Daphnia pulex: one gene and its partners. The protein of the gene in region 2 binds, or shares a complex with, the protein of the main gene of each other region. Links are inferred from orthologs where the notes say so. Each region holds a gene or a part of one and is shown on either strand. Other genes may lie near its edges. The genes, in order: gem-associated protein 5-like, serine-threonine kinase receptor-associated protein-like and gem-associated protein 2-like.

Region 1 (4,316 bases), on a different chromosome or scaffold from region 2:
TTGATATGACGTTTCTTTCAGTTGTCAATGATTGAACTCACTCGTTTTTTCACCCTCGATTGTACTTTTGCGGGCCTTTCCACAGTGTGATTAATTCGTAACAATAAATTGAGATGACCTGATACGGGCGTCTATTCTTTTCACAATCAAATTTTTCCTTTTTGTAGCAACAAACAAATTAACTATTGATAGACAGGATCACTCGGAACGCAGCGGACTAGAAAAATGACAAGAATGATTTGAAAAGGTAGGAATATCGTAATGGCAATCCCAATTGCGGTTATTTTGGCGAAGAGGGCATCGACCGACTTCATCATGCTCGAGACACAATCCTGTAAAGTGAGAATTAAGTTTAAACTAAATTTAATGTAACTGATTAATAATAATATTTAATTACTTCTTGGTATATATTCTTCAGATAGGAAGTGTCGCATCCTGATTTAACGCAACAGGAATCAGGAATGAATGAATATCCTGCTACGCTGTTCCAGTCCTTGTAGCTATCAACGCCACAACACTGGAACTAAACCAAGCGCTTTATCACGTCAGCCGACTAATTTCCAAGTAAACTAATTTACCATTTGTTGGGTGATATCCATTCCAGTTTTCCCACTTCCGTCGGGATCGAAATACATCATTTCGCGCATAGACTCTCTAATGTCTTGCTTGACTTTAGTACCGAAATCAGGACCGAACGCCACCAAAAGTCCAACCATGGCAATGAACAACAGTACGAGGAAACCTGCATACTGTCAAGTGTCAACGTCTCTTTAATACGATTCACTACGGATACAGATAGGGAGAAAGAAAATTATTTTTATTTTACTCACTATGTAGTAAAAAACAGAACTGCCGTCAATAGTGAAACAACAGTTAAGCGTCGTCATAACGATCAGTATGACTCCTATGACAACAGCAAGACTTCCGATTTTCAATTCAGCCGAGAGTATGGATGTTAGCCGAGTAGATTCTTCAGCTAGTCCAAATCCAAGTAAACACATTCCGAGAACCTACCATGTTTCGTAATAATTACTTGTGTCACTCATTGATTGCAATGAGTTTTCGTAAATAATAAAGAATTAAGCGTACCAGTAATAGAACATTTATGAACAAATGTAGAAATGCACAAGCGAAACTGCATCTTCCGGTCTCCATATTGCTCACTGAAACTCTGGAACATGACAAACAATATCAGCCTACATTCACACATCTATCGACGTTTATGAGCGTAAGCTATTCTTCGAAATAAGTGACGAATTCCTTTTGACGCGCACATTTCGAACAAGGTTCGTTGATTTCTGATTTGATGAGGAACAATTCGAGCTACCCTTGGAAGCGGCCAAGAATTGTTTTATTTTATGCAACACGAAGGATCGCTCATGATTCATAATAACGAATTTTTTCTGAGCGTTATTTAAAGAATTATTACAACTTCTTAACTTATCCCATCTCAAAAATAAATTATGTAATATCTGCTTTTAGTAAGGTTTACTGTTTAGCACCACCTTTGTCGTCTGTGCACGTTGTTTTGAAATTGTTCGCACATGGTGCGTATATGTAAGATTTAGTTTTCAACTTAAAGAAATTGTACAAGTTAAACTTGTAGGATGACAGAAAATAAAAAAGAGATTGTGATTCCTCCATCTCCAAATTGGTATCTGAGTGGTGCTTTTGAATGTCACAAAAAGTCTGGAGTATTAGTTTATGCTGCTTCGCGATGCCTCGTCTTTGTGAAATCTTGTAATGTAGGAGATAATTTCAGTTATCCTACAACTAATGTCATCCCGGACGCCCACAGGAATAAAATTACTTGTTAGTTTAGCATAAACTTCCTTAGGTTCACTTTTCAATTAATCGGTTTTGTTTTCATATGAAGGTGTGTCTTGGTATCAGCCCTCAGAAGAGAATAATTTGTTGCTGAGTAGTGCTGGAGAAGATGGTTCTATTTGTATATGGAAATATAATGATTTGAGTCTTGTATTTGAACAAAATGCACATCAGGTAATATTTGTAAAACATATTGTCAAGCTACAAATCTAATTTGACATCTTTTTCTAGGAGCAAAAAATTTCTTGTCTAAGTTGGTCTTCTCTACTGGATAAGAAAATCTTGGCATCATCAAGTGAAGATGGGACCATCATAATAACAGAGCTACTATTGAGCTATGAGAGTTGCAGCACTCGGAAGCTCAATTATGGGAAAATAAACCCTCTTATGCTGTCATTCAATCCCCACATTCCATGGCAGCTGGCCATTGGCTGTAAAGGTGGATTGCTGTACATATGTGATGTTAGAGGTAATGATTCAGTACTTGCTCTAACATTATCATGATTTTTCATCACACATATCATTGATTTCATTTAGAAAACCGTGGTATAATTCATAAACTGCGAGCTCACGAAGATGTAATAAGTTTAACCAGTTTTGCGTTTTCCCATGAAGTGTCGTCATTAATTCACAACAAATTCTTTTAGGATCTACACAACATCGTTTGGTGCCCTTTGAAAGGAAATGTATTTATTTGTGAAAAAGAAAAGAAGGAAACATTCTTGGCGACTTCGGGCCGAGATAAAACTATTAAAATCTGGGCCACTAACGAAGGAAAATGTGTCAGCCAATCAAAACTTCCTGGCAATACTGGAGTCCATCGCCCTCGGTCTACTCAGGATGATAAACGTGCGACCTGGGTAGCCTTACATTGGCTAAACGAAAAACATATTTTGAGCAGTGGACTCAGTGGTGAACTTATCTTGTGGGAGGTCAGAATTTTAAGTTAAATTTTTATTTGCATGAATTTAATCAATTTGTTTTGCTGTAGGTTGGGCCCAAATTGTCTTGGAAGATCGTTCACAAGCTTCACAGCCGTGGACTCTTCAATATTTCTTCATACATGACTGGAGAAAACCAGGAAATGATTTGGACTTCGGCGCAGGATCGTAATGTTATTCTTTGGCCCATAGTGGAAGGCCACGTACCAAAAGAAGTGTTAGGCATTCAAGAAATGGAGAATCCGCATCTTTGTATGCCAACCATGGGTGGTTTCATCTACGTCATGAATATCAATCCCATCGATTCATCCCAAATGGCTGTGGGATTGGGAGACTGCTCCATCAGACTATGGAATATGGCAGCTGCGAAACCTGACATGATGATGCTGTGGAATGGAATCAAAGGTGATGAATATATAATCTACTTATGCAGTATAGAGAGTAAAATTGCAATTCAATCATAACAGGCAAAGTGAGTGGATTAGCGTGGCATCCGACAATAGAGGGCCGGTTGGCATTTGGAACCGATGAAGGACGCGTAGGAATATTTGACACACTGTCGCTAACTAAACCACCTCAATTGAGTCGCACTTACCACAAGGGTACCGTATACAATTTATCCTGGGCTACCCTGCCGTCTAAGGAAGGGATATTCCTCTACTCTTGTGGTGGGAACAACATTATGGTTCACGATCCATCAGCATTAGATACGGAAGCAAAAAATTTCAATAATTTGATCGCAAGCAAAGGAGAAAAAAATCAAAAGTTCCCTTCGCGTACGGAATTTCAATGGAAAGTGGACTTTTCTCTTCTAGCCGTAGGCAACGAAGACGGTTCTGTGGAAATCTATTCAGGCGGCGATTTATCTTTGCTAACGATTATCGTTGCGCATAAAAAACTTATTCAATGCCTTAAATGGCATCCGCCATTCACTTTCCAAAGTGTGGAACCTTCCAAATTTGAAAACTGGTTGGCAGTGGCTTCAAACGATGTGAACATCAAAGGTACGTGTAAATTTTAACTATCTTGACCCCTTTTGTTTTATTGACTGACTGACGCCTTTTTACTTTTGTTCCAGTTTTTAGCGTCGTCGTTGCCAACAACGACGAACCCGCAACATCCACACTTGCGGCTACTCTAAGCGGTCATAAAGAACGTGTGGTGTCGGTGGCTTGGAGCCCACATGAAGATGGAAAGCTTCTTTCTGCCAGTTATGATGGAACCGCACAGGTAAATCATTCTTAGACTTTTTAATTATACCCTTTTATTTTTACTTGCATTTGCAGGTTTGGGACGTGATCAACAAAGAGCAAGTGGCTAATTTTGGTGGCCATACCGGAAGATTGCTTTGTTGCGAATGGAACGCATTAGAACAGGATACGGCCGTTACAGGAGGAGACGACATGACTATTCGAATGTGGAAAGTTAAAGAACAAGTCTACAAGACACCTGCCGAATCTATTGCAGTCAAAACGTTGAAGGAACGAAAGAAAATACCATACAAACCCCCTCAATCTTCTTCTTTTGTTGGTCGCCATGCAACTTCAA
Region 2 (3,532 bases):
TGCTTCTTGAATCTTGACGTTGTTTTTGTTCCATTGCTCTTAATAGGAGACGTCGATTTTTTCTGTCAAGATTACAAATGTTAAGGTTAACACAAATTAGGTACGTATTGAAATTTTACATTACATCTTCGTGCATTTGAGAAACACTTTGTAGCTAAAATTGACAGCCAGAGCCAAGTCAGCACCTTTAATAAATAGCCTACAACTCTAACAAGTCGAGTATTGGTTTCCATGGTTACTTATGCCATGGTGTTCCTGGTGGTGCTTCAGGACAACTAAATTTTACTTTTCGCAGAATGGTTACCTCTTAGTCTCTTACCTGAGCAAGGTAAACTGGGTTTAAATAAGGCTTATTATATTTGACAAATTACAATAATTTATAGTTTTAGCTACGATTTATTTGCTTAACTCATTAACTGTCGTTTCAGTGCTACATAGATAAAATCGAAATATCACTATATTTTCATTAACACCGTTTACTCATTTTGTCATTTAACGCCCACTTTACTAGGCTACCAATTACTTTAGTTCTAATAATGAAAAATTTTCTTGATGTTCCCTTGAAACATTGTTTGCGATTTTTGGCATAACAAATATTTGGGCTGCTTGTACATTTTACACATTCAATATTTGTTTAGCGTTTTTCTAAAAATGAAAAAATTTAGCTGAGAAAGCAAGAAAGTACTAAATGATACATTCAGAATTAAAAAATGCAATTGCGTTTTAGCCGTTTACACCTTACAGTATATTTTAACAGTTAAGATTTGTCCGCTATGATTTTCCGCACAGTGTTTCATCCGATCCCTAGTAGCCTAGCCTGTATAAGTACAGTTAGGGAAACCGGAAGCTCTTGTTTTTGTGCGCACCTTTTGTGTATAGCAACCTTTAGCTTAATTATGTCTACATAATACTCAGACAGTTCTTGTAGTTCTTTTTTTAATAGTAAAAGTTTACCATCCGCTCAATAACGCCACATGACGTACGTTTTAACTATAAATCTATAATTCTTTCTACGTCAACAAAATGAACTTTTTAAAGGCTAAAATGCAGCCGTACAATACCCATGAACGGTACAGTAATTAAATCACATTAGATTATTGTGATTTTTCCCAATGAAAAATCTATGTGATCGGCCCAGATCACACTGTACGTCGTTTACCTTTTTAACCACGCATTAAAATCGGCTCAGAAAGGATTGATTTTGCGTGCTGAGTGTGAATAATCAATTGGGGGCATTCTACTTAAAAAGTGAGTTGACGTCACTCTTGCACAATTGCATAAGTCCTGCATTGCTATCGGTATTGGCCACAGATGGCGTCAAATGCCGGGATAATTTTCCCTATGATCCTAGTGTTCTGCAGTCGGCAACACCGACAACCGACAACCTGCTAAGTTAGCCAAGGGGCTTTAATTTACCATCAATTCCCCAATTTGTGGCTTCTTTTGTAGTTTGACTGCCCGATCAAGTAATTCCCATCTCGACTCTGACCGTATTAAATAACCAAATAACTTTGGGATAATGGCAGTTCCTACTACATTACGACAAACACCCTTAACTTGCAGTGGACACACTAGGCCTGTCGTTGACTTGGCTTTCAGCGGTTTCACGGAGAAAGGTTACTTTCTTATATCAGCATGCAAAGGTATTTGTTAATATATTTCATTTCTTAGTTTATCCATTAACCGTTATAGAAAAATGTAGATGGAAAACCCATGATGAGGCAAGGAGATACTGGTGACTGGTTGGGCACATTTGAGGGCCACAAGGGAGCTGTATGGGGAGTTGCTTTAAGCCAAGATGCCAGCAAAGCTGCATCAGGTGCTGCTGATTTCATTGCTAAAGTCTGGGACGCTGTAACAGGGGAAGAAATATATTCCTTCCAACATCAGCATATAGTCAAATGTGTGGCCTTTTCCCCAGACGGGAGCTTGCTTGCTACTGGAAGCAATGAAAAGCTTCTTCGCATTTATGACTTGAATAATCCAACTGCTGGTAAATAAAGTACTTCAAAAATTATTTAAGAAACACAAAACATGAAGCTTCTCTTTTTTTTAGATCCATTCATCATATCTGGCCATACCTCTGGATTGAGACATATTGCATTTCTTGGTAAGGGAGAGAAGATAGTTAGTTGTGCTGACGATAGAACCGTTAGATTTTGGGAACGTTCAACGGGAAAGGTACAGACTATTTAATCTTTTTACGTCTTCTCAAATTAAAATTGTTAATATTCCGTTTACAGGAAATTCACCGTATAGATTTTACCTCGATCCCTAATGGCATTGAAGTTTCTAACGATGATTCCATATTAACGGTCGCTAGCGGGAACACAGTCAGCTTCTGGAATACAACCAGGTAAACGACAAATAGGTTTTCATTTTACATACTTTGCTTAATAACTTCTTGTTGCAATCATCAGCTTTGAAAAAATAAAAGAATATCAAGTGCCTAGCCAAGTCCATTCGGCCTCATTACATCCTTCACGCTCAGTCTTTGTATGCGGTGGCGAAGACTTTAAAATGTATAAAATGGATTATTCCAATGGACAGGAAATAGAATCGTTTAAAGGTAAATCTTGTCTATAGACAGTAGTTGTGTTTATTAACAATATCTTTTTTTTTAGGTCACTTTGGCCCAGTTCATTGCGTCCGTTTTTCTCCCGATGGTGAATTATACGCGTCAGGATCAGAGGATGGAACCCTTCGTTTATGGCAAACTACCGTTGGTAAATCCTATGGTTTGTGGAAGTGTAGCAGCGATACTCCTACTTCATCCGAAATTCTGTCTTCACCTGCTAAAACCGAAACTGTGGCATGAAGTGGAGCAGAGGAAATGACCAAGTTATATTCCTTTTTGTTCCCAGTTATAACCTCAGTGATCTTATTCACACCACGATAACAGTGGTCACTCGACTTGTAAAGACGATATCATTTTTGAGCCATCAGGAAATACAAGGAATCCATCCATTCCTTAAACTTAAATACAAATTTCGAAAAGGCAAAGACAACACGGTTCAATGTGAAGCACGAATTAGGTATACAGTAGGCGTAAATCCAGAAACAAAAACTCTTATAAGAATTATTTCGAACGCTTGTTAGTTAGATCTTCACTTTGACATCTGGGTGTAATGGCTTGCTTGCTCGACGATTACGTGATAAACCTAATCGAATTCCTGTTGAAGGAGAATTTGAATTTCCATTTGAAAAAATATTTGCACCACCGCCGGCTTTACCTTTGAAATAAAAAAGTTCAACACTTGAAAAGTAATTAATTGGCTTGTGATTGATTTACCTGGTGGTTTCCATTTCACTGCAACCCTCAATGGCGGACTAGGTGGCTTGAAGATGTGAACAGGATCTTGTGTAATTTGGGTGTTCTTGGAAGGTACCGCTTCAAAACCTCCGAGTTCGTCGTTTTTAGGAAGGCCGTTGTCGACTATCGTAGAATGAATTATTCCTGTGGGTTTCGATGAATCACATGATTCATCTCTACATTGCTTAAGATTTGTCACATCTCTTTTCGAGTTCGTCT
Region 3 (3,075 bases), on a different chromosome or scaffold from region 2:
CTCCATATTTATAGGTACCACTGAAACCTGCTTTGATGTTGTATAAACATACTTGAGATGCTGGAAATGAAATCAGGAAACCAGCCTTGATCAAAGGGACCCTCACAATGAGCTCTGCATTCTTCTTCTGCTTGCAAGTATTCTACCAAGGAAAGCTCCATGTTGGTTGTAGTTCTGTCATAGTCCTTCTTTTTGTAGGATTCACTGCCACGAATGTAGAATTCAACATAGGGTTTAGCTTCAAGGTTGATGACATAGTTGGGATCCACTTTCAATTCATTGATGAAAAATCTAAGATTTTCTTTCATCACAGTATGGTTTAAATTCATAGTTAAGAAAGTGTAGGCACAGGAAGCTGCCTTGATATTATCGTTGGTCTGAAATAATCCAAACACAAAAGTTTAAGTAAATAATAAAGAAAATGTGATGTAGGATACTAACCTTGAAGTAGCAAAGCTGAAGATAGTCATAAGGTTTCAAAGTGTCAAAATCATCTGTTTAAAATGTAAAAATTTTTAAAAACAGAAAACATATTTGATGAAGATAAGACTGTCTAACCTGCAACTTTACGGTCAACAATTTCTGCACGGTTCTTCAAAATATCTTTCTTGCATTTCAGTAAGCAAAGTGTCTTCTTTATCATCTTTTCCCATAATTTCATATCTTCCAACTGTGGAGACACCAACGGTTTGTCAAAAGATTCCTTGAGACATTCCAATCGACAGCCCACCACAGCATCTTTGTAAAAATGATAATCTTCAATGGCTTCGTTCATACGCGTGACGCACTCATCCCATTGCTCATTTAGATATGCTTCTACTGCCTGGCTGTAAAGAATATCGTACGAATTGGCAGGATCAGCTTTTGTAGCAGAGCAAAAGTAAACCAAGAGGGACAAAAAACAAGCTTTAAACAACATATTCTTACAATATATAATAAGGCTTGACAAAATAAAATAACATGGGCAGACTATGGAGCTATGGAGCAAGGGGAGGTTATCTTTGTGACTGCTCCACGTTAACAGTCAAGATGCCCTATGCAAAGAAGAGGGGTACATATATGCGTGAGAAAACATCTGTTAAAAACCTTAAACAAATTCTCGTGTTTCAATGTTTTGACTTAAAAGCAACATTGCCAATTATGAATAACGCAATCATGAAATTAATTAATCTTGAATTCTTTCAAATTTGAATTATATTTTTCAATTGCTGGTGGTTTTTTAACCGTGAATCGTGAGATGACAGGTAAGTGCAATAATTTAAATTTTTAAGTAAATAGAGCTGACAAATTAAAGTGATGTAGATGTCGCTTGCGTCTGAGCAAATAGTGGCGCAGAACCGCAGACGACAACTTAAACTTCAAAACAAACAACTGAAATCATTTGTGAAATTCCAGGCATGGATGAGTTCCTCCATAAAGCGCTTTACGTCGAGGAAACAGACGAGGATATCGATTTTGAGTCTGCGCCCAGTACAGGCCAAGAATACTTGAGAAGAGTTATGTAAGTCATGAAAACTTGTGTGTTAATAAATTGTATCACTATAAATTCATGCTGCCGGTTTATTTGGATAGAGTCGAATCGCGAAAATGCGAAGCGGTTGTAGTTGCCGATATGAAAGGAAAGAAGCTCAAAGCCCAAACTGTCAAATACACTACGGTAAGTTTCATTTTATTCAAATTTATTGATCTAGTCTGTCATTTCTGTGTAAATTCAGGACTCTGGCTGCCCACCTGCACCAGAAGTTTTCCTACCTTCAAAAGAATGGCAACAATTCCAAGTCTCTCAGTTTTCCTGCCTCAGGAGCCGCATGGCAAAACACTTGGCCAGGCTGAAAAAACAAGGAATTCAAATGAAACCGAATACAACCCTGGTAAGATCTTTGCTGTTGCAATGGCTTCCAGATAAATGAGTTTGGTCTTAATTATCCCTTCCAATTGTAGCCTGCTGGAGACAAAGAAAAGGAATGGTCAGTGTTGTGCTATGGTAACCCTGAGGATGAAAAGCCTTGTGGAACACCACCTATGCTCCCCATCATTTTATCCCTCAACCAGGTATATGAAAGTCACCTACTTCTCAGCATTCACACTATTATTTCTGTTGATGCAGTTTATGGTGGAGACTCTACTAGAGTACAACGTACAATGGCTGGAGGAGACGAATTTTACTCAGCAAAGGGGTCAGTGGCTCTACGCTCTACTTGCCAAATTGGAGAAACCTTTGAAACCCGAAATGTGTAGCCTCATCAGAACACTGGCACGTTTGTGTAGCACATTCCGAGTTCAATTAACCTCGGTCGACGACCCGCTGTTGGCCCAGCTCAATCTTTTCATATGTCTAGTCGGTCGTTACTTTGATCAAAGTGATTTAGCCGATCCGATGAAATGATTTAAACGCGAACAACGAACATTTCTGGTAACACATTTCCCGCATTGTATTTTTATTTTATTTTTCTTTTGCTCGCCATTTTGTAAGAAATAAAAAATGACTGATGGTAAATATAGTAAAGATCGTGGGTGAATAAGAACATGCATGTGGCTGATGGTATTACATTTAACACTTTTTTTGTTTTTTATTCGGGAGGGATAGGAAGAGGAGCTGAGTTGCATTCGTTTTTTTTTTCTCCCCCATTTTTCAGTGATGGCAAAAGTGGTGGGTGAAAATAAGAAGATTATAGCAGTTACATGTATAATAGCTGGAGGAAGAAAGAATTGAAGGGAAGGTCGGACAGAGATTTTAGAATTAGAATTTGCGTGTGTTTCTTCACAATTCCATTGATTCAACAGTATATAGAGATACGTTAGAAAAATTTGAACTTTCCCATCGATTGAACGAACCAACACAGGAAGGAAACGAAAAAGTGTAAGGAGAGGCGATGCCAATATATTTCTTATATATATTGTTTCTTTTTTATTCATTTTTTTGTTTTTTGTTTTGTTTTATTTACTGCATCCAATCTCCTCCGTTGTGTTCTCCTTCAGCAGATGAAACTGTCGCAAAAATTCAATATTATATCATGAAACATTTTTTCTTCTTTTTTAAATATTGAAAGTGTGAATGTGACATCTGGGATCGAC

Evidence for each region.
Region 1: serine-threonine kinase receptor-associated protein-like (region 2) and gem-associated protein 5-like share a complex: the UniProt entries of both Homo sapiens proteins name them as parts of the SMN-Sm complex. The link is inferred for Daphnia pulex from reciprocal best matches to the Homo sapiens genes STRAP and GEMIN5.
Region 3: serine-threonine kinase receptor-associated protein-like (region 2) and gem-associated protein 2-like share a complex: the UniProt entries of both Homo sapiens proteins name them as parts of the SMN-Sm complex. The link is inferred for Daphnia pulex from reciprocal best matches to the Homo sapiens genes STRAP and GEMIN2.

Annotation. Positions count from the first base shown.
Region 1 is NC_060024.1:12,897,098-12,901,413, forward strand, and holds the start of gem-associated protein 5-like, read left to right. Parts: upstream 1-1,480; 5' UTR 1,481-1,607; coding exon 1,608-1,812; intron 1,813-1,876; coding exon 1,877-2,001; intron 2,002-2,058; coding exon 2,059-2,296; intron 2,297-2,364; coding exon 2,365-2,405; intron 2,406-2,474; coding exon 2,475-2,759; intron 2,760-2,818; coding exon 2,819-3,173; intron 3,174-3,235; coding exon 3,236-3,772; intron 3,773-3,846; coding exon 3,847-3,998; intron 3,999-4,054; coding exon 4,055-4,316. Other genes in the region: CD63 antigen-like, read right to left, coding at 183-332, 398-523, 579-749, 831-1,010, 1,090-1,155. UniProt on the Homo sapiens protein: The SMN complex catalyzes the assembly of small nuclear ribonucleoproteins (snRNPs), the building blocks of the spliceosome, and thereby plays an important role in the splicing of cellular pre-mRNAs.
Region 2 is NC_060026.1:10,623,374-10,626,905, forward strand, and holds serine-threonine kinase receptor-associated protein-like, read left to right. Parts: upstream 1-1,325; 5' UTR 1,326-1,519; coding exon 1,520-1,643; intron 1,644-1,702; coding exon 1,703-1,993; intron 1,994-2,056; coding exon 2,057-2,181; intron 2,182-2,243; coding exon 2,244-2,356; intron 2,357-2,420; coding exon 2,421-2,569; intron 2,570-2,624; coding exon 2,625-2,818; 3' UTR 2,819-2,970; downstream 2,971-3,532. Other genes in the region: intraflagellar transport protein 43 homolog, read right to left, coding at 1-62, 125-136; uncharacterized protein LOC124205018, read right to left, coding at 3,100-3,233, 3,293-3,532. UniProt on the Homo sapiens protein: The SMN complex catalyzes the assembly of small nuclear ribonucleoproteins (snRNPs), the building blocks of the spliceosome, and thereby plays an important role in the splicing of cellular pre-mRNAs.
Region 3 is NC_060025.1:2,087,116-2,090,190, forward strand, and holds gem-associated protein 2-like, read left to right. Parts: upstream 1-1,321; 5' UTR 1,322-1,397; coding exon 1,398-1,501; intron 1,502-1,572; coding exon 1,573-1,657; intron 1,658-1,715; coding exon 1,716-1,871; intron 1,872-1,941; coding exon 1,942-2,052; intron 2,053-2,107; coding exon 2,108-2,386; 3' UTR 2,387-2,525; downstream 2,526-3,075. Other genes in the region: endoplasmic reticulum protein SC65-like, read right to left, coding at 53-377, 442-494, 559-919. UniProt on the Homo sapiens protein: The SMN complex catalyzes the assembly of small nuclear ribonucleoproteins (snRNPs), the building blocks of the spliceosome, and thereby plays an important role in the splicing of cellular pre-mRNAs.